Linked DNA regions of Yarrowia lipolytica. The protein of the gene in region 2 interacts with the protein of the main gene of each other region in a pairwise test. Links are inferred from orthologs where the notes say so. Each region holds a gene or a part of one and is shown on either strand. Other genes may lie near its edges.

Region 1 (3,848 bases), on a different chromosome or scaffold from region 2:
CCCTGCAGTACGAAGATCTTGTGTTCATGGAAAAGTGCTTCCAACGCACGCTGCTGGAGTTTGAAAAGTACATTTCGTTAAGTGGAACGCCCACGGTGCTCTGGAGACGAACCGGCCAGATAGCTGCCGTTGGAAAGGAGTTTTGTGTGCTGACGATGCGATCGCAGGCAGATTTGCTGAGTCAGTTCATCATCGAGTGCATGGACAACAAGTCTGTGGTACAGTACTTTGACGTCTTCTCCGAGCTGGCGTTTGGAGACAGCAGAGGCACGATTACCACCACGTTTGGCCTCACCAAACCCTCAGGCGAGGTGGTCAACACGGCGTGTTCGCTGACCATCAAACGAGACGTGTTTGACATTCCCATGATGATTGTCGGCAACTTTCTGCCTATTCTGTAGGCGCCATGTAATTATTTATTCTGAACGAAAACAAGAGAGCAATTACTTGTATAACTAACACTTTGTAGATATTACCTGAATATGAATGATATAGATTACGAGTATTTACCTATCCCTACAACCGCATGAGCCGCTCTTCATCATCCTCACCGTCAATGTCAATAATGCCCCTCTCCTCAACCCGTCGCTCCTGAACATCTCCTCTAGACACGTACTTGACGCGCTTCAACTTGGAGTCAGCCATGGCCGGGTTCCACACGTTCTGCGAGTTCAGCTCCGCCACCTCTTGCTTTTCAGACTTGATCTTGGACTCAAGTTCTCTCAACTCCTCGTCATCTGTGCTATCGTCCTCCATTTCCTGCTCTCGGATCTTGCCATCCAGACCCAGCGAAATGACATGCTTCTTGCCCTTTTTCCGAGCGTCTCGTTCCTCCATCTTGGCCATTTGCCGCTGCTGCTTCTTGAGCTGCAACGCCCTCTCTGTCGCCGAAGCCCACTGGTTGACACCTGCCGAGGGCAGTTCAAAGTCGCCCACGTTGTCGATGATCCGGGTTCTCTCCGCCTGACTGTCCTGGAACGCCATCAGGGTGTCAAGCCGCTCCTTGGCCTGCTGAAGCTCCTTCTCCTTGGCCTCCTGCGCCTGCCGGTTCTCCTCCTCCATCTGTTTGATGGCCTCTTCCTGCGCAGCCCGCCCCCCAGCATTAGATAAGTTGTACTTGATGGCCTTTTGTTTCTTTTTGGGCACCGCCTGTTTGGGGGCGTTCACAGACCGAATGTCCTCCTTTTGTTGGTACAAAACCGACGAAATTTCATTGCGCTCCTCCGCACTCAACAGAGGAGTGCCACAGAATGTGCACGGCCCTAGCCCTTCCTTCAGGCAATGGATCTTGCCACAGTTCATGCAGTTGGGGGCAACCTCCAGCAACGGGTGTCGGGAAGCCATGCAGTCGCATTTTGCGCGCGCCGTGGTGCCGTCTTTGCGCACATCTCCATGTTCCACCAGCTCCAGGTCCCGTAATGCCTGGTCGATTTCGGCAATCGAATCCACCTTGATTTTGTTTTTGGCCTTGGTCTTGGGCTTGAGATCCAGCAGTTCGGAAGTTGTTGCTCCGCCCTTACCCACGCCGGCCAGCCGGTTGCGAGGTGTCTTTTCCTTCTTCTGTTTCTCCTCCTCCACCTTTTCTCCTGCCGTTCTGGTGGCCCACGATGCCTTCTTCTTGGGGGGCTCGCTCTTGGCCATTTTTTCAGCCTTGGACTTCTCCAGCTTCTTGGACGAGAACCGCTTGCGGTTGAACTCCTCCACAAACCGGAACACCGGCTCAGACTCGCCCAGAAGCTCCACAAAGTAGCTGTGCACCTCCAGAGGATCGGTTTTCTTCATGCCCTGATCCACCAGCTGGGCGACGGTCTCCTTGTCGAACCCGCCGAGCAACCGGCCAACCATGTCCTTGGCGTACTCTTCGGTCACTGTGTATTTTTCCATATCGTTTGAATGAAGGAATTAGGAGGTTGCTGGGATCAAGTCGTACCAAATGCTGGTGATAAGCATGCATGACCAGGCAAACTGCACGTGATTTGATAAAAGAAAACAAAAAAAAATATACAAAAAAATACGTAAAAAATTGAATATAATGTAGGAGGATGGGAAAATGATATCAAAGTGGTCAGAATAGTTGATTCTTTCCGAATTTATACTCGACGATACTTTTATAGAAATACTCATACTCTCACGCTCAAATGTCTAGTAAAATCAATTCTATGTCTATGTCTAATAAATAATGTGGCACCTTCTAACAGAAATCAAAGTCGGGGAAACCGAGATCAACTCCCCACTTGGGCTTGGAAGTTCGGTGGATACCCTCGGTCTTGTGCAGATCGTTGAGAGCCTGCAGGTCTTCCTTGGACAGGTTGACGGCGGACTTACCGTTCTCGATGATTCGAGAGTTGGTGACGGACTTGGGAATGACAACAGTGCCGTTACCAATGTGGTAGGAAGTGAGAATACCGCCGGGAGAGGTCTCGTACTTATCGGCGAGCTTGAGAACCAGCTCGTTCTTGAGCAGAGGGCCTCCGACAGATCCGAAAGGAGAGAAGGCAGTCATGATGATGTTGTTCTTCTTGCAGAACTCCATGAGCTCGAGCTGGGGCAGCAGAGGGTGCAGCTCGACCTGGTTGACAGCGGGGACCACCTCGGCCTCCTTGAGCAGCTCCTCCAGGTAGGGAATGGAGAAGTTGGAGACTCCGATGGACTTGGTCTTGCCGGTCTTCAGAACGGCCTCCATCTGCTTCCAGGTCTTAGGCTGCGAGCCGGACTCGTCAATGTCTCGAGATCCGTCCGGTCGCAGAGGGTAGACGGGGTCGTTTCCGTTGGGGTTGAGGGGCACCGGCCAGTGGATGAGCAGCATGTCGACGTAATCGAGACCCAGTCGCTCCAGCGACAGATCCAGGTTCTCCTCGACTCGGTCATGGTAAGTGACCCAAATCTTGGTGGTGACAAAGATGTCCTCTCGCTTGACACCCTTTTCCATGGCCCGCTTGATACCGAGACCGACCGCGTCCTCGTTTCGGTAGTTGAAGGCGGTGTCAATATGTCGGTAACCTCCCTCGGTGAGAGCGCACTCGACAGCTCCGGCAACCTCCTCGGTGGTCGACTTCCACGTTCCCAGACCGATGGCAGGGATAGTCTTGCCGTTGTTCATAGTGAAGTCGATAGAAGTCCCATTGTGTGTGTTGTGTGTGTGTGTGTGTGTGTGTGTGTGTGTGTCAATTGGTGTTTGATGCAGACTCCAGGGGGGATCAACCACCTATATATATACACATTCGGCAACGCTCTCGGATCATTCTGCTCGTAGATTCTTCCGGACCTTGAGTATATCCAGCTTGGAGGTTTCGTGTGACGTAATGGTGTGCTTGGTGGACGCAGGCATCTGCAGTTTTCGGTGGTGCGAAATGACGTACATTTTTGTCCCTCTGAAAACTTGACGCACATTTCTGGCCCTGGCCGGCAGAAAAGATCACCACTTGACGTCATAGCAAGCGGCATTTTCTACATGTTTTGCGAGCGAATTTTGTAGAAAAATCAAATCGAAACAAGAACCGAGCGGTCCGAGTGCAAACGAGAGCAACAGCAAATGTATTCGTCCAGATGATGTAATCAATAATTAGACTGTACAAAGTCCGGAAAATGTGCACTAAAATACAGAGAGTAACACCGGAGGAGTACCACGAAAAGGACGCACCGTGTTTGGATATCAGCCTACACTTTCCTTCAGTAGATGCCCAATATTTAATGAATCTGTTGAATGTCTTAATAATCTATTAAATTCGATTTTTAATCTCTCCAAATCCACAATTTTTATTTATCTTATTTATTTTATTCTAATCAATTTATTTTATGTTCTAATTTTACATTTCTAGGAAAATACTTAAGCAACCCAAAATATGCAA
Region 2 (7,583 bases):
GCACGAGCAGTCAGTCGCAATTTGACTATTTTCATGGCTTGGTGGCTCTACAAGATACCTGGAGCGTACTCCATGCCTACAGATCTACTGGCAACAACCTTAGCCCGTCTACTTACCGTCTATCTCCAACTTCAATATTATAGGATGATAGGGGCCGCTCAAGTTCACATGGTTGACCAGTTGAAAGCACATTTTTACCAAGTGTTGGGCTTGCGAGATTTGGATGTGTCTACAAAAGACACCGTAGATACAAATACTTAATACACATGCATTCGCTTCTCTAATTACATCTAAACCTGGACCTCAATGTCATAAGATAAATCAAGAGCATCGTTGATGCACTCGAGAATCAGATTTTTGGTCTCGTATCCAGGAGGAATCTTGAGCTCGGTATGCATGGGCTTGCCAGGCTGAGGAGACACTCGCTTGATTCCAAGCAGATCTTCGCCACAGCTAAGAATAACAAACCATGACTCCTTCTGGGGTTTATGGAACTTGGGGCAGGGCATTCGGAAGTCAGCGTGAAGGGGCTTGTTCTTGTGAGTCATGGTCACTGTCATCTTGTCATCAACACGCAAGTAGTCAATGTCCACAACAGGCAGGGAAGAAGCCACCCGAACGAAATCGTTGATGTTTCGGCATCCAAATTTCTGAGCAGCAGTCTTGATCTTTTCAGGAGACATGTTACCGAGAGTATCGAGGGTGATCTCGTCGCGCTCCTCAAACTTGGTGATGGCTCGATCCTGAGGCTTCATTCCAGGAAGTAGCGTAACAGGATCAGCATCAGGCCAGGCACCCTGCTTGATGCACTGCATGACTGTAATGGCTGTCTTGACGGCAAAGAGCAGACCCAGCTCAGCAACAGTATCAACAGCAGCCTGCAGGATACGCAAAGTCTGGTCCAGAACGGATACAGTATCCTGAATGTAATCGGTGATGGGCAGCTTGACACGAGACATGTACGCCTGCAGAAGCAGGAAGACTTTCACATGAGGATCCCACATGACCAAATCCATGGACTCTCCGGAGTACCGCATCTCCTTGGACAACTCAGCGTTGACAAGATCTTCATTGTGTCTGACAGGAAGGAGATCGTACTCGGTAGCCTTGGACACCCAAACCAGAGCATCTCGAAAAGTGGAGTCGTTGGAAGCATCAGAAATGATGAACCGCACGGTTTTGTGAGACAGGTAGTAGTACGAAGAGATTCGCAAAAAGGAGGTAGCAGAAAGAGTACCGTCAGCATGAAGTTGCAGACAGGACGACTCAGAAAGAGCATCCAGAGAGTCATCAATGAGATCTGAAAGATATTCACCAACTGCTTCGGGAGTCTGCTCCTGAATACCGTAGTAGGTGGGGTTCGAGTACACTCGTCGGTACAAAAAGGTCCACGACAAAAAGTCCATGGCATCCTGTCGAGACTTTATTGACCCAGTGACAATCTCAGCACCAAGATGGTCCTCCAGGGCCTTGTGAAGCTGCGACTCGACGGGGAAACCAACGTTCAAGAAGTTTTTGTAGAAGGCCTTCTTGCTTTCCTTTGTGTAAACCATTGCAATACCGTTGGTATCGAATCCAGGACGTCCGGCTCGACCCATCATCTGCAGAATGTCGGTCAGGTCCATATCTCGGTAGGCCTCAATCTTGGCGTCGTAGAACTGAGTGCCCTTGATGACAACCAGGTGAGCTGGCAAGTTGACACCCCATGCAAGAGTTGACGTGGCAATGAGAATCTGAATTCGGTTGGCAGCAAACAGCTCGTGAGAAATTCGACGATCACTCTCAACCAGGCCAGCATGATGCAGACCAATACCAAACTGAAGCGACAGCTTGAGAGTCTCGTCTTTGACCTGCAGAAGAATGGCTTGCAGCTCATCTTCGTCCATGCTGAGGAACCGTCGAGGATTGTCTTCGAGACCACACAGGTGAATGAGATCAAGAGAAGTAAGTCGGGTCTGACGTCGAGAAGCGACGAAAATCAATACAGGCTTGGTGGGTGAGTGACTCTTGATGGCCATGAATGCGGGCTTGTTCATTGTCTTCATCAGAGGACAGAAACCGACATTGTCAGGGAAACCGTCAATGTACATCTGCAGGGGAACGGGACGAACGGCAGGGGGGAAGTTGAACAGACCCTCCTTGACTCCCAGCCACCCAGCCATATCCGTGGTGTTAGACACGGCTGTAGAGAGACCCAAAAGTCGCACCTTTCGACCTGTCTGGCCTCCAACATAGTTCATTCGAGACACAATCATCTCCAGAATGGGGCCTCGGTCGGAAGCAAGCAAATGGATCTCATCCATAATGACCAGGGACACGCCCTGGACGAACTTTCGAGTTTTCCAGTTTCGCGAGATACCATCAAACTTCTCGGGTGTCGTAATGATGATGTCAGCACGTCGAACCTCTCCTGCATCTGGGTTGGAATCACCAGTCAACTCGACGATTCGCTTGAAACCCTTGAGTCGCTTACCCCAGTCCTCAACTCGCTCTCGAACAAGAGCCTTCATAGGAGCAATGTAGACGACCTTGGAGCCCGGGTTGTCTCTGAAGGCAGCCCACATGGCCAGCTCACAGGCAACAGTCTTTCCGGAACCGGTGGGAGAACCCAGGAAGACGTTGGTATCCATGTGGTAGAGACAGTGGAAACACATTGTCTGCATGGGGTTGAAGAACTGAAACTTCTTGGCGTAGATGTTCTCAATGATGGGGTTTCGGAGAGCTTCGATAGGCAGAGGACGCAGACGAAGTAGCTTGGTGTGTATGGTTTCGTGATCAGGCATAATGAGGTGCTTGAAAGACACTGTTTGTACCGTCTCGACGTGAGCCCAGTGGTCTGAAACCAATCGCACAACAATCTGAGAAGGAATTGGCTGCGATATGGGGATGGTGAAGTCAATGTTATGAACATCATGCAGCTTTCGCTTGCTCAACATGAACTTCTCAACATGCGAAATGTGAGCATTATCGGACGACTCAACCCAAAGCCAGAAATGTTGCACCTTTCCGTGGTACTTTTCGTCCCAGTGGAAATCGGCCCAAATGTCGAGATGCACACGGAGTACTGACTTTGTAATAGGTGCAATGTCCGCTTCCATCATCATGTAGGGGAATCTGTCCACAAACCGATACAACTTGGAGGCCATAGAATGGTTGTGAACGAGATCACCCATCTCCTTGGCGGTCATATCTCGCAGATCATCAATCGAAGGGTCTTTGGCGTCCAGAATTCGCATTATGTGATCAGGAAGCTCAAACTGGTGCAAGGGATGAGCAAAAGGCCATAGTCGCTGGTCAATGGCCTTGCACATAGACAAGAGCGAGTAAGCAAGGTTACCCCATCGTCTGTTGAGAGCCAGAGAGAATAGAGCACGGGCGATACGAGATGCATTCTGAGCGACATAGCCCATGTCCGAGATCAGAGACGACTCCTTGAACTGGTATCGAGAAATGTAAGCCTGCAGCACCAGGTTAGTCTTACCCTGAGTGGTGGTAAGTGCTCCGTAAGGCTGGCAGGGCATATCGTCCGAGTTCTGGAACTTCTCAAGCTCCTCCATCTCCTCGGGGCGACCCTTGAGACCATCAAACTCGCCAGACATTGACAGTAGGGCCAAAACATCAGCTTCGGATGCGTCGGGCTTCATCATGGTATTAAAAATCTCAATCGAGTTGTTGAGCAGGTAGAAGTCTGATGCAACTCGACCACTATCTTTGCTGACGAAAGAACCCACTCGCTCATCAAACACAATCATTTGAAGGGTATGCAGTCGCTGAGCGGCTGCCACGATTAGCTTTCGACGGTGACCTCCAAGCATTGGGTCATCCTGGACGTCAGCCCAAGTGAGACCATAAGCAAGAGGGTTCTTTCGCATTCGCACAAAGAGATAGGTGTAACCCAGCCAGGCAACACCCTCATCCACATTGGTGACTGTTCCGAGCGATATCTCGGCGTTCAGGTTGTCGACAATTTGATCCTGCAGCTTGGATTCAATGGGATGCTGTTCAGTAACTGCGGAGATGAAATGCGACAATCTGTCCAGAGAAGTAAGCAGGATACCAGTACCAAACTTTTCAAACTGAGGACGGCCAGCTCGACCAAAAATCTGAATGACATCGGAAATACCGAGATCAGTGAACCCTCCTTTCTTCGCCTCGTAGACCTGAGTGCCCTTGATAATGACCACGGCTGCAGGCAAATTGACACCCCAGGCAAGAGTGGCAGTACAGCAGAGAACCTTGATGAGACCATCTGCGAACAGCTTCTCAGTCAGGTTACGGTCTGACCGCAACATACCAGCATGATGTATACCGAAACCGTGCTGGAAAAGTTCTCGGACCTCCTTGTTCTTGGCCTTCATAACGTCCTTGGTGTACAGACCGTAGTTAGGATCGGTCGCGCACGAGAAGATTTCTGACTCACCATTGGCCTGGGCAGCTTGAACGAACTTCATGGCCGACTTGGCTGTATCCTTCCTACTATGGACAAAAACCATGACCTGGTGTCCCCCCTGTCCGACTTCTTGGACAAGCTTTTCGTAGGCAATCTCGTCGATGTTTTCTCGGGACTCATTTGAGCCCTGCTTTCCTCGAACACCAATGAAATGCTGCTCGAGAGGCACAGGTCGGAAGGAGGAGTCGAAGAAAAACATACCAATCTCGGGGTTGACGCGCAGAAACTGAGCAACATCAATGAAATTGGGCAGAGTAGCAGACAGACCAACAATTCGAATTAACGACTGGGTTGACTCAACTTGTCGAAGTGTTCGGGCCACGAGAGACTCGATAACAGCACCTCGATCTTCATGCAGAAGATGTACCTCGTCGATAATCAGCAGCTTGACCTTTGTAACTAGCTCATTGTCACCGGTGGATTTCCGGGTTACCACATCCCACTTCTCAGGAGTGGTGACAATGACCTGAGTGGCCATAATCTCAGCCTTGGTCAACTGCATATCTCCGGTCAACTCTCGAACACTGATACCCAGCCAAGCCAAACGTTTACCAAGTTTGACGACAATCTCAGCAGCCAGAGCCTTCAAAGGGGCTACATAGACAATCTTGAAATCGTTGTAATGCACAGTCACGTCTCCCTCGGGACTGATATCGGAGAATTGGTTGATGGTACTCAGGACCGTCAGCATAGCCACATCGGTCTTACCAGCACCTGTGGGAGCGCAGACAAGCATGTTTTCACTAGTGTTGTATGCAACTGGATACACCAGCGACTGAATCTGGTTAAGTGACTTGTAGGCCTTGAAAGCTCCTCTGCAAATGATATCCAGGTCCTTGAGAGGAATGAAGTTTGACTCGATGAGCACGGGTCGCTTCTTGGGGTACGGGACAATAATCTCCTCATGTTTATTGAACACCAGCTTCTCGCTTCCCACAGGAAGACCGTACTTCTTACCCAAACTAGAAAGCACATTTCCTCCATCTCCAGACATGTAGACGTTGGGATATTTCTTCTGTGTGGGCACTGGGTTGTCGGGCAGCGCCTTGGCACGAGCACGATTGTCTCGGAGCTGCTGTGCCTTTTGTTCGGGTGTCATTAGCGAGTAGCCATTGGGCAGGGCTGCCGCAGCTGATATTTTCTGGGTTAGCTAGTAGTAAGACATCAAAAAAGTTCGTTCATACTTACCAAATCATTTCTCTTCTCAAGTAGTTCAATCACAAAGTCGACATCGTCATAGCCAACCTCTTCCAGCAGTTGCATCTGTAGTTCATCAGAGCTCCTGTTACTTTGTAACATATCCAAGATGGCTGCCTCGAACTGCTCGGGGGTGTCGCTTCGACCGTTCTTTCGGTGTACCTCAACGCACTTGCTTGTCAGCCACTCAAATGCCGCATTGTTGTATTCTCCATCGTCAGAAGAAGGGTCCTCAAAGAATTCGAGATGCTCCATCAGAGGAATGTCCATATCGGGGGCATCTAGCTGGTTGAACTTGTCGAAGCCTGAGTAGACCTCGTCTTGGGGCTCTAGCTCCTGCGCTAGTTGCGCGAACTGCTCGTATTCAGTAAGATCCAACATTGGTTGTTTAGTCAGATCGCCAGATCAGGATGAAGATGTAAGCAAGAGACTTGGACCAGGGACATTAGGTTCATGCAAGTGTGACAGCCGATGATGAAAAGGCTCCAGAGTTTCTGCATTGGGTTGTTTAGAAGTACTGGGGATGTGGAAGTATATTGATTTCATTCATATCACTACTTGTGAGCAGTATATATTATAGTCGTCATTTTCCCTCTGGCTATCTTCAACTGCATCTTGTACTGGGTCCTTCACTAGTACGTGTTTCTCTACTTGAGGAATCTTAAATGTTACTTAATATATTGCTGGTGGATTGGTATCTTCCTCACAAAATCCAACTAGAACCCAACAATTAGGCTATCCACACTTCCAACAAGTAACTAAAACCAACTCAAAACGGAACTCACCTCCTAACTGACTGAGCTAAAACAACGTGCAACATCATCACCACTACGCACACCGATGACGGAAATTATTGCGCCATTACGATTCGGCACCGTCCAGCCCCATCTTTACCGCGGCTCTTATCCCCGGAAACAAAATTTACGCTTCCTGCAGCGTTTACGACTCAAAACCATTGTTTCTCTGACACCGAAACCCATAGAGGGTCCGTTTGCGCAATGGGCCGAAGACAATGATATCACCGTGATCCACATTCCCGCAGCGCCCGAAGGAAAGGCTTACAAGTCACTGTTTGAGGATCCCGAGACACAAGCCAAGGAAAAGGAGAAGAAGAAGACGGAGAAGAAAGAAGCGCGAAAGACAAAAAAGAAGACCAGAACGCTGCCTATCAACTACGAGGTGGCCATTGAGGCTATTGGATACATGATGGACGCTGACTGTCAGCCCACATATATTCACTGTCTGAACGGCTCGGAAGTGACGTCGCTGGTGGTGGCGTGTCTGCGAAAACTGTCGTTTTGGTCGTCTGTTTCAATCACAGGCGAGTATGTTGGGTTTGCACAGCTCACAGCGACCGCAGACCGGTTCATTGAGGATTTCAAGGCCGAAATTGAAATTCCAGCTAGCCCGGTGCCCTGGATGTGGAGAGGTCTGTCTATTGGAGTGGTCAAGCGGCATCCCACACTGAAGATTGTCGATAGTGAAGATAAGGACGAAGGGTTCCCTAAAGACGGGTTTGAGAGCGAAGCTGCAGCCATTCAGGCCGTTTCTGCTCTACCATAGCCAAGCTACAACTGTACCATATTACCATATACTATAATTTATTCTATTTACCGTTACAGTAGACTGATTGCGAGATAGAGTACATTCCTCCCGTAGTCAATCCACGTATTCTTCACCAAGACATCAGCTACTGTCCATCGTTAAGATCGTCTCGGGCCTCTCGACCGTCTCGGCGGAATCCGAACCAGACAGCAGCCACAAATAGCAGACTGCCGGCCAGAAGAGCCCCTCCAACTCGAGGGTTGATGTAGATCTTAAGACCAGCCAGAACCACAAGGAAACAGGCGAGAATCATCTGGGTGAGGATCTTAAAGGAGGTGGAGATACCTAGAATGTACCAGATGGCGATATCAAAGACTCCAAGCGCAGCTCT

The links. The genes of interacting proteins can lie anywhere in the genome.
Region 1: the proteins of YALI1_B18451g (region 2) and YALI1_E22029g interact in a protein complementation assay, tested with the Saccharomyces cerevisiae proteins (2 studies listed by BioGRID). The link is inferred for Yarrowia lipolytica from reciprocal best matches to the Saccharomyces cerevisiae genes SLH1 and RQT4.

What each region holds. Positions count from the first base shown.
Region 1 is NC_090774.1:2,201,070-2,204,917, forward strand, and holds YALI1_E22029g (uncharacterized protein), read right to left. Parts: upstream 1,885-3,848; coding exon 517-1,884; downstream 1-516. Other genes in the region: YALI1_E22004g (uncharacterized protein), read left to right, coding at 1-401; YALI1_E22041g (uncharacterized protein), read right to left, coding at 2,192-3,100.
Region 2 is NC_090771.1:1,839,547-1,847,129, forward strand, and holds YALI1_B18451g (uncharacterized protein), read right to left. Parts: upstream 6,029-7,583; coding exon 5,639-6,028; intron 5,592-5,638; coding exon 291-5,591; downstream 1-290. Other genes in the region: YALI1_B18391g (uncharacterized protein), read left to right, coding at 1-261; YALI1_B18460g (uncharacterized protein), read left to right, coding at 6,488-7,210; YALI1_B18472g (uncharacterized protein), read right to left, coding at 7,338-7,583. UniProt on the Saccharomyces cerevisiae protein: Involved in activation of the ribosome quality control (RQC) pathway, a pathway that degrades nascent peptide chains during problematic translation.